4 linked regions of the Arabidopsis thaliana genome follow. The protein of the gene in region 3 interacts with the protein of the main gene of each other region in a pairwise test. Each region holds a gene or a part of one and is shown on either strand. Other genes may lie near its edges.

What was found.
Region 1: the proteins of NPR4 (region 3) and TSB2 interact in binary tests that used the Arabidopsis thaliana proteins (3 or more experiments, as listed by UniProt).
Region 2: the proteins of NPR4 (region 3) and AT2G19080 interact in binary tests that used the Arabidopsis thaliana proteins (3 or more experiments, as listed by UniProt).
Region 4: the proteins of NPR4 (region 3) and LSU2 interact in binary tests that used the Arabidopsis thaliana proteins (3 or more experiments, as listed by UniProt).

What each region holds. Positions count from the first base shown.
Region 1 is NC_003075.7:13,584,362-13,589,427, reverse strand, and holds TSB2 (tryptophan synthase beta-subunit 2), read right to left. Parts: upstream 3,161-5,066; 5' UTR 2,865-3,160; coding exon 2,508-2,864; intron 2,133-2,507; coding exon 1,776-2,132; intron 1,701-1,775; coding exon 1,258-1,700; intron 1,171-1,257; coding exon 1,076-1,170; intron 985-1,075; coding exon 809-984; 3' UTR 531-808; downstream 1-530. Other genes in the region: PDIL5-4 (PDI-like 5-4), read right to left, coding at 1-34, 232-272; TOR1 (ARM repeat superfamily protein), read left to right, coding at 4,358-5,066. UniProt on the Arabidopsis thaliana protein: The beta subunit is responsible for the synthesis of L-tryptophan from indole and L-serine.
Region 2 is NC_003071.7:8,261,077-8,265,698, reverse strand, and holds AT2G19080 (metaxin-like protein), read right to left. Parts: upstream 3,000-4,622; 5' UTR 2,882-2,999; coding exon 2,722-2,881; intron 2,168-2,721; coding exon 1,833-2,167; intron 1,731-1,832; coding exon 1,654-1,730; intron 1,566-1,653; coding exon 1,505-1,565; coding exon of another isoform or gene 1,427-1,504; exon of another isoform or gene 1,395-1,426; coding exon 1,250-1,394; intron 1,123-1,249; coding exon 953-1,122; 3' UTR 561-952; downstream 1-560. Other genes in the region: AT2G19090 (DUF630 family protein (DUF630 and DUF632)), read left to right, coding at 1-521; SHT (spermidine hydroxycinnamoyl transferase), read left to right, coding at 3,741-4,622. UniProt on the Arabidopsis thaliana protein: Involved in transport of proteins into the mitochondrion.
Region 3 is NC_003075.7:10,695,760-10,700,779, reverse strand, and holds NPR4 (NPR1-like protein 4), read left to right. Parts: upstream 1-1,987; 5' UTR 1,988-2,536; coding exon 2,537-3,055; intron 3,056-3,146; coding exon 3,147-3,885; intron 3,886-3,966; coding exon 3,967-4,514; downstream 4,515-5,020. Other genes in the region: AT4G19670 (RING/U-box superfamily protein), read left to right, coding at 1-729, 989-1,397. UniProt on the Arabidopsis thaliana protein: Salicylic acid (SA)-binding substrate-specific adapter of an E3 ubiquitin-protein ligase complex (CUL3-RBX1-BTB) which mediates the ubiquitination and subsequent proteasomal degradation of NPR1 in the absence of SA.
Region 4 is NC_003076.8:8,442,742-8,445,640, forward strand, and holds LSU2 (response to low sulfur 2), read right to left. Parts: upstream 1,361-2,899; 5' UTR 1,016-1,360; coding exon 731-1,015; 3' UTR 538-730; downstream 1-537. UniProt on the Arabidopsis thaliana protein: May be involved in defense responses monitoring. Probably implicated into osmotic stress signaling.

The sequences.
Region 1 (5,066 bases), 2.9 Mb from region 3:
TACACGAGAGGCAAAACCTACAACTTCAGGATCGCTTGTCCACAACTAAACCCTATCACTAATGAGTAAGAAAATCCACAAAATGTTGATTCTCCCCAAGTAAAATTCATAGTAAACTACCACTACAAATCCAAGTCACATGCCTAGATCGATGAAATTCGAAATCTATATAACAGGAGAAAGAAGCTGGAGAAATCTGGGAAAAAAATACACAAAGTAACAGACATAAACCTATAGAAATCAACGGATTTGATCTTGCTCGTGGACACCATTTTCGTCGGAGAGGGAGTCAACTAAGAAACAACAGCTGCTTGGCTAAGTTCTAAAAGCTTCGAGGACGAAGCACCTCCCTTGTGATTTATCTTCAGCGTTCAGATTTGAAACTCCTCCCCAATCTACTAAATTACAACACTAGCCCCCTATGCTTTGACCCGTTTCCCATTTAACCCAAAATAGTTTCTATCAGAACAAATTAGTACAAACAATACACAAGTTTGAATTTACAATGATCACCATTAAAGAGCAGAGTTGTTTATAAATCATTCGATCAGAGTTGTTTTTTCTAAGCATTGGTGAAATTAAGATATGAAAGGGAAAACCAGCTAAGTCAAGAACAAAACAGTTCGAATTGCTTATAAGAACATCAAACGTTCCATAGAACATTTTTATTTATATGATACATTCATAACACTTATTCTCTTCTTAACCCTTTGATCCAAACTTTTGGATTCCCGACCATAAGCAAGGAGAACTAACAAACTACATAAAAGAAATAGCACTGTGTGAAAATGAAAGTAATCTACACTCTTTAAACTTCGAGATACTTGATTGCAGTCTGAACATCCTTGTCGCCTCTCCCACTGAAGTTTAATACCACTCTGGCTCCATCAGGTAACGTCGGACAAAGCTTCTCCAGATGGGCCAATGCGTGCGATGTCTCCAATGCCGGGATTATTCCCTCCAACCGAGACACTCTCTTGAAAGCTACACGCATAGATTAGAATACACAATGCAAGTTCTCATGAGTTGTGAAAGAAACATCTAAAAGGAGAAAAATGAAGTGTCAAGTAAGTACCTTCTAATGCTTCTTCATCAGTAACGCTAAAGTATTCAGCCCTTCCCACGTCTTTAAGGAAACTATGCTCAGGTCCGACTCCAGGGTAGTCCAATCTGATAACATCAACTTTTACTCTTTAGATACAGGTGACCAGATACATGTGGCTTAAAACCAACTTTGAACAGAGAAGAATCTCTTACCCGGCACTGATGGAGTGTGGTTCAATGATTTGGCCATCATCATCTTGCAGCAAGTAACTCATAGCTCCGTGGAGTACACCGACATCTCCTTTTGTCAATGTGGCAGCATGTTTGCCGCTGTCCAATCCAAATCCAGCGGCTTCCACACCAATCATTCGAACCTCTGTGTCATCGACAAATTCATGGAAGAGTCCCATAGCATTTGAACCACCACCGACACAAGCAACCAGAACATCAGGCTTCCCGCCCCATTTCTCCATCGCTTGTTTCCTTGTTTCTTTACCAATCACCGCGTGAAAGTCTCTGACCATCATAGGATAAGGATGAGGACCCGCAACGGATCCCAATATGTAATGTGTAGTCTCCACATTGGTCACCCAATCCCTTATAGCTTCAGAAGTTGCGTCCTTTAAAGTGGCTGTTCCAGAGTGGACTCCCCTTACCTACAAGCATCAGACTTAGATAACAATTTGAAAGCATTGCGATTTTGCAAGGTTTACGCAGAGAATTCACATCACCTCAGCACCGAGAAGACGCATTCTGAACACATTAAGAGCTTGTCTCTCCATGTCTTGAGCACCCATGTAGATAATGCACTGCAAACCGAAACGTGCACACACAGTAGCTGTGGCTACACCATGTTGACCAGCCCCTGTCTCAGCAATAATTCGTTTCTTTCCTAGACGCTTGGCGAGAAGAGCCTGAGCCACAGCGTTGTTGATCTTGTGAGCACCGGTGTGGTTCAAGTCTTCCCTTTTGAGGTATATGAGCGGCCCTTCACCGTTTTCACGGCGGTAATGCTCCGTGAGCCTCTCTGCAAAGTAAAGAGGACTTTCCCGACCAACGTAGTCTTTCAAGATCTCTGCTAATTCTCTCTACAGATTCATCAAACATTAGTTAGACATTGCCCAACAAACGAACTAACCAAAAAGACTTCTAACTTACATCACACAGAAGCATGTAATGCTGAAGAAACTAAGAATATGAAATGAATGTCGTTTCCAGATTTCTGGAAAAATACAACACTTTCCCAGAATTACATCCTACATCGCAAACAAATCGATTTGTCCCATACGGCTTAACATTGTTTGGCAGATTATTTTTTAGAATTGGAACAAAAAAATCCGTTTTTTAAACTTTATCACTAGCCATGGCAATGACAACGCTTGAATCAGAAACTCACAAAGCCAAATCATTTCGAATCGATTCAAAAACTATGAACAAGATGGAAACAAAATCAGCAGGCATACCTGGAAATCTTCGTCGGTGGCGAGCGAATAGAAAGCCGTTTCGAGTTCAGAGAGGGCGTGCATTAGAGTTTCGGGGACGTACTTGCCGCCAAACTTCCCGAAACGACCGAATGAATCAGGTCGTTGCCACATAGTCGGATCAGATCCAGCGGCCTTAATCTTCTCCGAGTCCGCCATGACAACAGCTGGGTCCTTAGCGATGGTGCAGGAGACGGAGAACGAAGAAGAGGACCGTGAGCGAGCCGATGGCAGAGGCGTAAATTTGGGGAGTTTGGAGGGTGATCTCAGATGGGTTAATTCGGAAGAAGCTGAAACGGAGGAGGGTCTGAAAGTAGCAGCGGTGCTTGCGGTGGCCATTTAGTGAATCTTTTATCTAGCTTTCAAACACGAAGACAAATGTTTTGCTGACAAAAACCTTGAAAGTGAGGGTTCTTTTTATAGATTCGTTATGTAACACTTAAGTTTTTTGACCAGAAATTCAATAAAATAGTGGAGGAAATCGGTAGTTCGGTACCACGTTAACTTATTTGTGAACAACAGAAAATGAGAGAAGAGTCAGAAGAGGTTGGTGAGAATAGGGCGGTGTACATTTTGGGGGTTGGAGTGTTTATCACATGCCTAATTTTAGTGTTATCTATTTTCTTTTGGTAAACGTCCTCTTTGGACAAAATGACGTATAGCAGTTTTTGCTAATATGATTCAAAGGCTTCTAATAGTGCTAATGAACGACGTACTACTACTCGTTTTGTTTTTGGTGGAGTTGATAAATAAAAGGATTACAAAGACATGTACTTATGGTTAAATTAATACAAATGAACTAACTATATAGTTTTAGTTTAATTTCATGATTTTTAAACGTTTTCCAAAACTTTATTAAGTTTCTTGTATTTTTTATTTTGTACTTAAAATAATAAAATGTGGTTGATCTTTTAATGACCAACATGCAAATAGTCAAAATGACACTAATCGATTACATATTCGAACCAAAAAAAATAAATATCAAATCGGTAAGGTTTGTCTCTTATCGATTTTACCGTCTTAACTTGTCATTTAGGCAGACCTTGTTGGTCCGATGAACCACCAGCCTCTGATCCATTTATGATTTACACACGTGCATTAAACACCAGACGAAGGCCTTTGAGTCGTTGAAGCTAAAAAATGAATGGTATATGCATGCGGACTCACTCGGAAGCCTCTCCAATGTGCATTGCTCGACTCTAACTCCAACAAAGTGTACGTAACGTAACAATCTTAACGACAACCTAAACAACTAATAGCAATCACAATTCCTTAAAGCATTCGTTAGTGTACCATGTAAAATTCCTTGAACCATTCATTATTGACTTATAGTACCATGTAAAAAATTCCTTAATCCATATATCAAGCCATGTTTTTGTACAAGAAACCAATTTGACATTTTGAATAATTAGATTCTTTATTTTTATTTTTTTTAACTTAAATTTTGAAATAAAAATTAACAATCCATAATGTAGAACGTGATGTCTCTAAATTTGATAATGTCCGAACTTATTTGCATGGATGTTTATATATTACACTAGAACTCGTATTATTGATTATTAATTTAAACGAAGTATCACGAATTTAAACTATATTTTCATACTTTGTCTTTCACACCCGATTTTCCGCGACAAATGCAAAATCCAGATACTGAAAATTATGCAATATTAAAATTTGAAAAAATTGAAAAAGTGAAATACTAATAAAATTGAGCGACACATTTCTGATTCCAGTCTTAACTGTTACACTTTCGAGTGTCAGATCTCGTCTTTCTTCTCCAACTCGTCTATCTTCTTCTCCGATTAATCTAATCTCTCGTCGGAGATTTAGAAATGAGCACACCTACAACTTCCGGTTCGGCGGCGAAACCGACGAGACCAGCACGGTCGTCGAGTTTAGCAACTAGGTCATGTTCCAATTCCGGTTCCCTCACTTCGTTCCAAGCAATGGTGGAGCTGAAGCAAAAGATCCTTACCTCAATCTCTAAGCTCGCCGATCGAGATACATACCAGATCGCCGTCGAGGATCTCGAGAAAACTATTCAATCTCTCACTCCCGAAACCCTACCGATGTTTCTCAATTGTCTCTACGATTCGTGCTCCGATCCGAAACCTGCAGTGAAGAAGGAGTGTCTCCATCTTCTCTCCTACGTTTGTAGTCTCCATTGCGATTCGACGGCTGCGCATCTCACTAAAATCATCGCTCAGATAGTTAAACGGTTGAAGGATTCTGATTCTGGAGTTAGGGATGCTTGTAGAGATACGATTGGTGCTTTGTCTGGGATTTATCTCAAGGGAAAAGAAGAGGGGACTAATACTGGTTCAGCGTCGTTAGCGGTGGGTTTGTTCGTTAAGCCATTGTTTGAGGCAATGGGAGAGCAGAACAAAGTGGTACAATCTGGAGCTTCAATGTGTATGGCTAGGATGGTTGAATCAGCTGCTAGTCCTCCAGTTACTTCTTTCCAAAAGCTTTGCCCTAGAATTTGCAAGCTATTGAGCAATTCCAGTTTCCTTGCTAAGGCTTCCCTTTTGCCAGTTGTTT
Region 2 (4,622 bases), on a different chromosome or scaffold from region 3:
CCTGTTTTGAATTCTGGATCACCTCTCAGAGATCCTACATGAAAGCATTATCTGGTTGGCTTCTAAGATGTTTCAGATGTGATCCTGACCCCGAAAAAGTTAGATTATCCTCATGTCTTCACCCGATATACCGAGTCTGCATTCAATGGTCAAGGTTGCTTAACAGCTTGAATGAAAAACCAGTTTTGGACAAACTTGAGTTCTTTGCCTCAGGGATGGGTTCAATATATGCAAGGCAAGTTAGGGAAGATCCAAACTGGAGTGGAAGCGGGTCAAGGAGATACTCCGGGTCAGAAAGCATGGAGCTTGTAGTGGCTGATAAGGGAGAAGAAGATGTTGTGATGACTGCTGAGAAACTTGCAGAGGTTGCTGTGAAGGTTCTCTGCCATGGAATGTCTGTTGCAGTTAGTTCACTAGCTGAGTTTTCCATCAACTCGGCCGATGAACACTCGAAGCTTGTTAGCCAACCAGCAGACGATGCGTCGGAGCAGCAGCCCCCGGATGTAAATTTCAATTCCTAGTACTTGTTATTAATTTTGTTTGGTTTTAGAGAGTTTAGAATTAGGTAGGTTTTTGGCATCATCTTTTGCTATCAGAAGATAGTTTCTTAGATGGATGAGATTTGTATTATTTAGTAAGACAAATAGAGTTAGTTCAGTTGATTCTGAGGATGTGTACCAAGAGTCTTCTAATGTTCCTCGGTATTTTATCCGGTGAATCGGTTCCCATGATGTGCCTTAAAAACCAATGAAATTTATATAAAAGCCAAAAGCTCTCCTTCAGAACGAAAAGTCGAAAACCATTATAATGTGACTAAATCTCACATCTGTATCCTCTCCATAACTAAGAGTTCAAGAAGAAAAAAGCGTAGAGATTACTGGTTATGTTTTTATCTTAGTCTCAGAGAGTTCGCCTGAGAGTTACCGGTCCATTTAATAAGAAAAGCTTTAGTTTAGTCATCTTCATCTTCATACTCCAGTTCATCAGAACTACCTCCTCCCATCACTGATACGTAAATGACGACAGCTAGAAACTGAGCAGCTAGAAAGAACCTTGCTCTTTTCTTAAATTTTTTCTCCTCTTCGGTCTTTTCTACCTTTGGTTTGCTCTTTGGCTTCGAACCTGAACAAAAGATGAAATTCACTTCCTTCACAGGCTTAAACATATCCAATGAATGTTGCATATATGACAGATATATAATATGATGAAATATATATGATATGGACGTTGAAGGTTAGATGTGTCTTACTCTTTCTTGGAAATGAGGAAGGGAATGAGTGAAGTGGAGGTGAAGGAGATGAAGAAGAGGCTTCAAGGAACTCTGACTTAAGTTTCTCAGCATATCGCACAAGATTACTATGTTCCAGAAGTTTGCACCGAAGCACTGATGTAACCTGATCATGCACCATTAAGAAAACTACTTCATCTAAATAGTTCTAAGGCTAAATTCAACCTGATAAACCCATAACTGAGAAATATATTGGTGAAATTTAAAGCTGCTCACTGGTAACGCTTGGATTATAAAAAGTATGTGCGAGAGTAAGAAAGCATCCAAACTCGATGGCCTGTGGGAAGAGAATAATATAAACATTGTCAATCTTTTACAAAAAGGCTTAAGGGAAAGAATCCAGTTCCGGAATGTGATTGCAATACCTGTCTTCAAAGAGAAACTTCTGCTCACCTAACCTAGTCGACAAAGCTTCATATGCCTCACTTGCTCTCTTGTATATCTGTTCACATTTAAGACTATGAACTTTAATAACTAGTTCAAATGCTCACAAATATAAACCACAGGTCTTCTAAAGTAACAACAAAACTTAAACAAACCCGACCTGTTTTTCTCTTTGCTCTGCGTTCTCTTTGGTGATTCCTAAACGGTTCTTTGCCAAGTATGTCTGCTTATAAAACAGGACCTTGCTGATCACCCAAGGAAGATCTGAATAGTAGATTTTCGATGTAGATATCCCCTCGGTACCAACCCATATCTCATAGGTAAGCGCTTCTTCTAGCCAAGACACAATAAGAGCCTTCAAAGATAAATAATCCGAAAGAGACTGTAGCTGAGAGTCCAGATTAACAATCCCATCTTTCTTCAGTTTTTCAATTACTCCTCCATCTTCATTGTTATATGCAACATATGTATCACTTTCAAAGTACGGCAGTTCATCTATATTAAAAACAAATGATTAACATTGTCAATACACAAGCTTATAAATATTGAATGCACAAATTTGTAAATCCGTGAACAAAGGATTACGAAGTGTCTAGAGATATTATCAAACATAACATAGAAATTCTGAAGATATTGTTAATATACAAACTCAATAGCTAAATCAAACAACTAATTTCTTCTGAACAAGTATGAAACATCATCATTCTCTTCGAATTAACAATTACGATAACGAGGAATTCAACCAAAGCTATAACAAGAAATTATGATGAACACTTCCTATCCAGAAAAATTCACCAATGCATATATACACCTCAAAATTGAATTACTATTGCCTAAAAACCCTATCTAAACTCTGATTAACCTAAGAGCAGGATCTTAATAGTACGAATTCGAATCCAGAACTCAAAATTATCTTGTCTAGGATTCGAATCTCAATTCAAGCTAATAGAATTAACAATGTTCACTTCCAACAGATACACATCACGCAACCAAAACCTTAATCTAACAACAACCAAAATACGAAGCGAGGAATCAAAACAGAAGCAAACCTGAATCAGGGAAGGTTGAATTGAACGCAAGTTCAAAAGGTAGCTGGGCTAATTTCAGGTATATATAAGCAGGAAGACAATTAGGGCAAGCTGTTGGGAGATCGAAGGAAGGCTTCCTTGCCACCAAAGTATAAACATTCGTCTCTTGATCGCCTTCCATTATAGTGACTCGTATGTGTGAGAGCTCTGGTCAAAAGAAGAAGAAGTACTCAAGTAAGTTCGATCGTCGATAGAGAGAGATGGGGCGAGAAGAGAAGATCCAGTCGAGTCCGGGTCTGGGTTAAGGTTTAGTCGGTCGGGTTTAAAACTAGGGTTTATTAATACGATAACTCATTTTGGGCTTTAAAAGGCCCACAAATTACCCATTAAGACAAAACTACTGGAGGAGGAGACTCGGAGAAAGTGGAATTGTTTTCTCCTTTTTGTTAGTTTGTAAAAACTAAAATTACTGTGTAACAGTGTAAAATACATCATCCACATTTTTTTTCTTCAAGATGACTTTATAAAAATAAACTCAACTTAAATTCAGAAGATATAATCAAAACTGGCGATGTGGGCTTTTGAATTTAATGCTATGAAGTTAGTATTTTGGATTTACCATTTCTTTTTAGAGTTTATGATATATACTTAAGGATTTAGTTTAGAATTTATACTTTGGAATATACTTGCATAAAAAAGTATAACACATTCCCTAATAGTGATATGAATTTTATGTTATATGTTCTTACCTCGTTTTTTTTCATTTTTTCGTGGAAATATATATTCATCCACAATGTGAACAAAATAGAGAAGAAGGGTAATACGCGTGATCATATACAACCAACAAAACTAAACCTTATTCTCACTTCCACTAATTAAGCTGCTTCGAAGGAAACAAACTAAACCACGAGAAAAACATTTTTGAATTTTGACTAACAGCAAGAAAAATTCGTTGAATCCATATGATTCTGTGTACTATATAAACATTACTTTAGCACGAACTTCAAAAAGAGAAGAGAAAAAGAAAGGGGGTTTGTGTTATGGCTCCCATAACTTTTAGAAAATCTTACACTATAGTACCGGCCGAACCAACGTGGAGCGGTAGGTTTCCCTTAGCCGAGTGGGATCAAGTTGGTACAATTACTCACATTCCCACCCTTTACTTTTACGACAAGCCATCTGAATCTTTCCAAGGCAATGTAGTCGAAATCCTAAAAACCTCGTTGAGCCGTGTGCTAGTCCATTTTTACCCTATGGCTGGCCGTCTCAGATGGCTCCCTCGGGGACGGTTCGAGCTCAATTGTAACGCCGAGGGAGTGGAATTCATTGAAGCGGAATCTGAGGGGAAGCTTTCGGATTTCAAAGACTTCTCTCCTACGCCGGAATTCGAGAATCTTATGCCGCAAGTAAACTATAAAAACCCTATCGAAACGATTCCTCTATTTTTAGCTCAGGTAACCAAATTCAAATGCGGTGGAATAAGCCTTAGCGTCAACGTTTCCCACGCGATCGTAGATGGCCAAAGCGCGCTTCACTTAATATCGGAATGGGGAAGACTCGCGCGCGGTGAACCGTTAGAAACCGTTCCATTTCTAGACCGGAAAATCCTCTGGGCTGGTGAACCGCTCCCACCGTTTGTGTCGCCCCCAAAGTTCGACCACAAAGAGTTTGATCAGCCACCGTTTTTGATCGGAGAAACGGACAATGTAGAAGAGAGAAAGAAGAAAACGATTGTGGTGATGCTACCACTGAGCACATCTCAGCTGCAGAAGCTACGAAGTAAAGCCAACGGAAGCAAACACTCTGACCCGGCGAAAGGGTTTACAAGGTACGAGACCGTCACCGGACACGTGTGGAGGTGCGCGTGTAAAGCACGTGGCCACTCTCCGGAGCAACCAACGGCTCTAGGAATCTGTATAGAT
Region 3 (5,020 bases):
AGCTCTGAGAGAAAGGGTATTGGAGAAAACAAGTAACCTTAATGGGTTTGTTCTAAAGCTTGCTCCTTTCTGTGATCTTGATGAAGCTCTAAGCTTGGCTCAAGTAGCGGTAGGAATCGTGTCTTCTAATCTTGATGGGGATAAACCGATCGAGAACTGCTCGATCTGCTGTGAAGACCGTCAGTCTGAGATGATGCTATCATTGAAATGCACTCACAAATTCTGTTCGCACTGCATGAAAACGTACGTTGAAGGGAAAGTAAAGACTTCAGAGGTTCCCATCAGGTGTCCTCAAGTGCAATGCAAGCATTATCTCTCAGCAGCGGAATGCAAATCGTTCCTTCCCGTCACTACTTTCAAATCATTCGAGGAAGCAAATGTGTGTAGTAAAAACAATGGGAAGATTTACTGCCCATATCCCAATTGCTCTTTTCTGTTAGACCCGCAAGAATGTCTATCATCAGGAAGGGCTAGCTCAAGCTCGTCTACTCAGTCAGAGAATAGCTGCTGTGTGGAGTGTCCAGTCTGTGAGAGGTTTGTGTGTGTGGACTGTGGTGTTCCTTGGCATGCTTCTATGAGCTGTGAAGAGTTTCAGATTCTTCCAGTTGATGAAAGATACCCAGATGATATTACATTGCATCGCTTGGCAAGGTATAAGAGGTGGAGGCGGTGTCAGCAATGCCGTATAATGATCGAGCTTGCTCAAGGCTGCAACCACATGACTTGCCGGTAAGACACACATATATATCTATGGCTACACATTGTTTTCCGTATCTATACATATTTGAACCACCAAAGTTAGGTTTTTGACTTCCAATAAAATATAGTTAGTCTTGACCCTTTAACTGCAGAATCACGGTATCGTAATAACCATATGATTCTAAGGTTTTTTTTTTCTCGCCTACGTTTAAATCTAGTATTCTAGAGCAAGTGTTTCTTTTGCGATTCTTACGCATATAAATGTCAAAACTCTCTGTGTTTTCCGCAGATGCGGGCATGAGTTTTGCTACTCGTGTGGAGCAGAGTACAGAGAAGGGCAACAGACTTGCACGTGTGCTTTTTGGGACGATGATGAAGAAGAACAAGAAAACGCAGTAGAGGAAAACACAATTCAAGAAGTTGAGCAATGGCCTTGGGACACATTTAACTCAATTCCAACTGTAATGGACGCGTACTCAGAGCAAGAAAGATCTCAGCTTGCTCTGATCCAAAGGTTCTTAGCAGGTGGAGGGTTTAGTCTCAGTGATCACCATACTACTTATCAGTCACCGCCGCCTCCATGTACAGAGTCATCATATGTTGAAGCCGCAATGAAAGATCTTCATCAGCTTCCTTGGCTTGAGAGGTTTGTGTCTGTTATAAGTGATGATTACTATGAAGAGTATAATAGCCAGTGAAAGTAGTAGAATTGTAATTTAATAGCCTTGAGGATCCGGCTTGGTTTGGTTCAGAGAGGCCAAACGAGAGTATCTCACTCTCGAAAGTAATTGTTGGGAGGGTTTTAGATTCTTGATGAACTCAAACAAACGAATTGTGATGAAACTATTTGCAATTATAAGAAGAAGAGTTTGCTCATCTCCATTCTACAAATCCTGCAAGAAAGATTAACACTCTTTTATATTCAGTGTTATGTTATGATATTTAATCTACCAAAATTTGGTTGAAGAACTAATCAAAATGAACTTGGTTAGCATCATCATATATATACCAACTACCAAGTAAAGAAAAAGTTTGATAAATTCAATTATTCATGCTCTTCAAATAAAATACAGAACCCATTAAAAAGGGTCCACTTATCATCAATCTACTCTTGCATTATCTTGAGTTTTTGTGTAGACATAACATAACCCATTTTATAAGTTATGACCTTATTAGAAAGGGTCCACTTATCATCAATCTACTTAGCATTTTGTGTATATTTCTCAAAGCTGACGTTATTTAAGACGTCATAGACCCACTTCACCACAACTCAAGTCGTCTTCAATTGCTGACGACATTGCTTACGGTTTTTGAATCGTCGTCACAAAATTTAGGAGATTGGATTAGGAATTGGCTCTTTCTTTACTATTCTCCAAAGACTTTACTATTTGGTCAGTCTTCTTATTTCTCACCTTTAGCTTTTAGATAAACCTCTGATTTTTTTCTCCCATCTGTTCTGAGATTGTCTTCTTCTTCTTGAAATCTTTTTCATTTGTGCAATGATTTTGAAGACTACCCATCTATTCAGTTCTTTCTCTTATGATTTAAGTTTCATTTAGTTTTTTTTTCTCATCCGCCATTTTCGTTGACTTTTTGAAGCATTTCTCGAATTGACTTTGTTCTTCACATTGATTCATTAGAATGTTCTTTCATAAAGTTTGGATCTTTTCTTCAGGGCTTGATTAATTTCATATCTATGATCTTCTCTGTATTGTTTTTGATCCAATCACTTCTCAAAATTTGATCCTTGTCATTGGATTTAGATTTAGGGTTTTTGTATCCTTGGGGATTTGAAGATCAAAAACAGAGTCTTTGAGTGATACTTCTGGGGAACAAAATGGCTGCAACTGCAATAGAGCCATCTTCATCTATAAGTTTCACATCTTCTCACTTATCAAACCCTTCTCCTGTTGTTACTACTTATCACTCAGCTGCTAATCTTGAAGAGCTCAGCTCTAACTTGGAGCAGCTTCTCACTAATCCAGATTGCGATTACACTGACGCAGAGATCATCATTGAAGAAGAAGCTAACCCTGTGAGTGTTCATAGATGTGTTTTAGCTGCTAGGAGCAAGTTTTTTCTTGATCTGTTTAAGAAAGATAAAGATAGTAGTGAGAAGAAACCTAAGTATCAAATGAAAGATTTATTACCATATGGAAATGTGGGACGTGAGGCATTTCTGCATTTCTTGAGCTATATCTACACTGGGAGGTTAAAGCCTTTTCCTATCGAGGTTTCAACTTGTGTTGATTCAGTTTGTGCTCATGATTCTTGTAAACCGGCCATTGATTTTGCTGTTGAGTTGATGTATGCTTCATTTGTGTTCCAAATCCCGGATCTTGTTTCGTCATTTCAGGTTTGAGATAAAGTTTCTTTGTGATTTTGCTGGTAAATAATCTGTTCTTGATTGGTCAAGGCTGTAATGTTGTGTGTTGTTGTGTCTGCAGCGGAAGCTTCGTAACTATGTTGAGAAGTCACTAGTAGAGAATGTTCTTCCTATCCTCTTAGTTGCGTTTCATTGTGATTTGACACAGCTTCTTGATCAATGCATTGAGAGAGTGGCGAGATCAGACTTAGACAGATTCTGTATCGAAAAGGAGCTTCCTTTAGAAGTATTGGAAAAAATCAAACAGCTTCGAGTTAAGTCGGTGAACATACCCGAGGTGGAGGATAAATCGATAGAGAGAACAGGGAAAGTACTCAAGGCATTGGATTCAGATGATGTAGAACTCGTGAAGCTTCTTTTGACTGAGTCAGATATAACTCTAGACCAAGCCAATGGTCTACATTATGCAGTGGCATACAGTGATCCGAAAGTTGTGACACAGGTTCTTGATCTAGATATGGCTGATGTTAATTTCAGAAATTCCAGGGGGTATACGGTTCTTCATATTGCTGCTATGCGTAGAGAGCCAACAATTATCATACCACTTATTCAAAAAGGAGCTAATGCTTCAGATTTCACGTTTGATGGACGCAGTGCGGTAAATATATGTAGGAGACTCACTAGGCCGAAAGATTATCATACCAAAACCTCAAGGAAAGAACCTAGTAAATACCGCTTATGCATCGATATCTTGGAAAGGGAAATTAGAAGGAATCCATTGGTTAGTGGGGATACACCCACTTGTTCCCATTCGATGCCCGAGGATCTCCAAATGAGGTTGTTATACTTAGAAAAGCGAGGTATTGACCTAGTCGATATATATATTTCTCATAGCTTAAGGTTGATGTCTCTTTATTGAATTCTTGTATGTGTCATTGCAGTGGGACTTGCTCAGTTGTTCTTCCCAGCAGAAGCCAATGTGGCTATGGACGTTGCTAATGTTGAAGGGACAAGCGAGTGCACAGGTCTTCTAACTCCACCTCCATCAAATGATACAACTGAAAACTTGGGTAAAGTCGATTTAAATGAAACGCCTTATGTGCAAACGAAAAGAATGCTTACACGTATGAAAGCCCTCATGAAAACAGGTAAAAGCTTAAGGAAATGTACTTTCAAGTTTTATTCTCTGACCACAAGATTGACTGATTCGAAACCGTTCAACAACGCAGTTGAGACAGGTCGGAGATACTTCCCATCTTGTTATGAGGTTCTGGATAAGTACATGGATCAGTATATGGACGAAGAAATCCCTGATATGTCGTATCCCGAGAAAGGCACTGTGAAAGAGAGAAGACAGAAGAGGATGAGATATAACGAGCTGAAGAACGACGTTAAAAAAGCATATAGCAAAGACAAAGTCGCGCGGTCTTGTCTTTCTTCTTCATCACCAGCTTCTTCTCTTAGAGAAGCCTTAGAGAATCCAACATGATCTTGTCCCAGATAAGTAATGCTACTAGAGATAGTTCCTTGGAAGAAATTAGCTATTTTATAGGTTTTGGTTTAGAAAACAGTGGAGATCCCATTTTGGTATTCAGGTTTATTACATGGTTTAGGTTTGATTTTGTATTAAAGGAGATGGATTTTTGAAATGTATAAAGCAAAACCTTTCCTTTTTGCTTTGCTTCTTTCTTTAGTCAGAAAATTGTAATATATGGAAGTGAAATCGAAGCAACGATTGAGCAGAACGAGAAGCACAAGAAAAATGTTAAGCTAGTTAAAAGATTTTCAAGCTTCTTGCAAGAGAATTACTAAACAGGCACTTTCTCAGGGGAAAGATCCTCGTGTTGAATTAATCTCAATACCAAAATCTAAGCCTGCTTCTGATAGCAAAACAGGAACTAGAGAATAGAGATAGTTCCTTTGAAAAGATTGAAGATCCCATTTTGGCTTTAGGTTCAATTTGTATTACAAGGGATTTTGATTTTTAAAATGTGT
Region 4 (2,899 bases), on a different chromosome or scaffold from region 3:
CAAGTCTCTCCAAAGACAATTCTAGTTATACTTCAAAAAAAAAAACATTATAAATATTTGTTTGTTTTAATTGCATCACAATTTATGAAAAATTAAAGGGTTTTGGTTAACAAAAAAAAAAGACTAGACTTGTTTGCCCACGTCAGGTCACCTGGTTCTGTCAGAAACTAGATTTGTTCAAAAACAAACCCTTTGTTTATATTTGTACATAGTACACTGGCGTTGGATCCGTATATTCGTTTCCCTTTTTTCTCCCAAAAGCAAACCAAGTTCTCCAATTTTACTATGTCAAACTCTAGAAAGACCAAAACCACTGTTGCAATGTCAATGATTCAGTAGAATTCAAACACTTCTTCATATAATACGCAAAAATCTAAAAGCAAAATCTTTATTTGTAATTTGGTCATTTCACATATAATAATAGGAAACATGACCATAATTGCTTTAAATTTTCTTTCTGTTAAAGTAATTTACACGTCTTACAAACAAAATTCCATTTTAGTCAAACCAAACATCGAATATCATTTACTTTAAATTGTTTTCAAGACTTTTCATTCATCATTAATCGCAAAAATCAATCGGTAACAACATCGATTTTTTTTTTTGATTGAAACTTCCATATTTGTTTTAAAGACAACTCTACATATTGGCATTGATATGAGCCGATAAGAGGATACATCAAACAATCTAAAAAACCTATCTTTCTTTAAAAGCAAATATCTATCTAATTCTACGGAGAGGCAGAGGCAGAGTCTGAAGAAAGACGAGAGAGCTCGTTCATGAGAAAGATGATACGAGAGTGGTAATCACGAGCCTGGTCTAAAGATTCTGCTTCAAGCTCGGCTAGCTGTGAGCAGAGACGCTCCTCCGCTTCTTCCGCCACCTGTGTCCGCCGCCACAACTGCAACATCTCTTTCTTCATCTCCTCCACAGCTTTCTCCATCTCTCCGTTCTTCCGTCGTAGCTCGTCCACTTCGGAAGCCGCCACCGTCACATAGTTTCCTCCTTTCCCCATTTTTAAGAACTTTTAAAGGTTTTCTAAAGATTTCTCCTTTTGGTTATTTTGGTCACTTTGAGTTTTTTTGTGTTTTGTTTTGGTTCTTGAACGTTCCTTATTAATAGGCGTCTTTGAGACTGGGGTTTGGGTGGGTTTTATGTCTAGGTTCAATGTATCTATATCTCTTCTTCTTCTTTCTTATTTCTGGTGAGTTATTTTCTTCCTCTAGATTCTAGAACATTTTCTCTTTTAAATTATTTTCGATATACACGTTGGGTCCAATTAATATTTTGGAATATTTTAGTGGTACCATATAATTGTTTTATTGGTTAGAGACAAATTTGTTTTTAGAGGAGACACGAGATAAGTTATAATAAAAATTTATCAATCAATATAGTAAAATGTATTGGTTCAGTCATAATAACTCTTGTCATTTCAATAATACATATGGCAACGGATTTAAAATGAAAAATATTTGTTTAAACTGATATTTTTTTTTTAAAATGGAGTATTTGCTTTCTAAGAATGAATAAATTTCTTTGTCTAATTGAATAAAGTGGATTAAAACATATTTTGGACCATTTTACTTTGATCTAATTGCTATACATATAAAGTAATGAATATTTCATATTTACTGGACCATAAATACTAGTAATTCAATCTATTTATACAAGTCTAAACTGTAGCTCGTAAGTAAAAGTAATGAACAATTCTTACATTATAGCCCCAATGAGCTGTCAATTTCATCAAAGACAACTATATGTTAATAGATCATAATAATACATCGTCTTAATAATGGTCCTAAACTCAGGAATAAGTTGTGCAAATATGTTTTCATATACGCATGTAAAGAAAAGATTGTGACTATTATTGAAATAACATGAGTTATATTTATATCCACCAACTCTTTATCCTCAAAGAGGATATATATATCCGCTGTATTATGCTAACATTACCATTCTTGCACTTGAAAAATGACTTTAATTAATTGAACATTTTATTACCATGAATTGAACAAAATTTCTGAAAATTGCTTCTGAAGCATCCAATTTTCAAGATTTTATATATTCATTCTAAAAACTTAATTCAATAAACTCATGTAACAACAAACTAATCGTTGAATATATTTTCTTCTCGAGAACGTTGACTGGACACTAAAAGAATGAAAGAGTAGTACTATTTGAATTTTCAATGAAACCCCACTTATTTCAAAGGGGAACTTCTTTTTTTTCTTTTTTCTTTCTTTTCTGTTTTGCTATTTCATAGAATATAGAGAAAATAATTGTTTTCCACTATTTCTCTTAATTGCTAAAAGGCATGTAGAAATCATTTTCTCACCTTTATATTTTCCACTAATATATTCCGCCAATTATAGCCATTAATTAACTTGGAGCAAAGCCTTTGTCGATGTAACCCACATTCCCACTTCTTTCTCTTAACTGGAGTATTGGACAATATCTCCCAAAGTCAAGGGCTGTCACGATTATACAGCTATTCTTGTATAGTTAAAGTTACGGCTACGATTCATAGTTCTTAAATTACTTATTAGCTATTTCTTTAGTATCTTTATTGGTGTGTATGGGGAAAACTAAGAAGACTTTGGTTATGAATGGTGTCATGAAGCATAATAAAATAATACGGTGCGGTTTGATTTTACTCTTGGTCATGTTTTTGTGAATCATATTTGGACAACACACCAACCTCAAGAAGTAGGGTGATTCAAGTATAAACTGAAAAATCATAAGCGTTAAATACCGATTAATACAATCATATATATATTTCGAAACTTCAAAACATTAGTCAAAATTTGATAACTCATTTATCCGTTACTCGCACCAAACTAATTAAGATATCTATTCAGCTTTTGTTCTATTCGTTCTACACCATTTATTCTTTACAAAC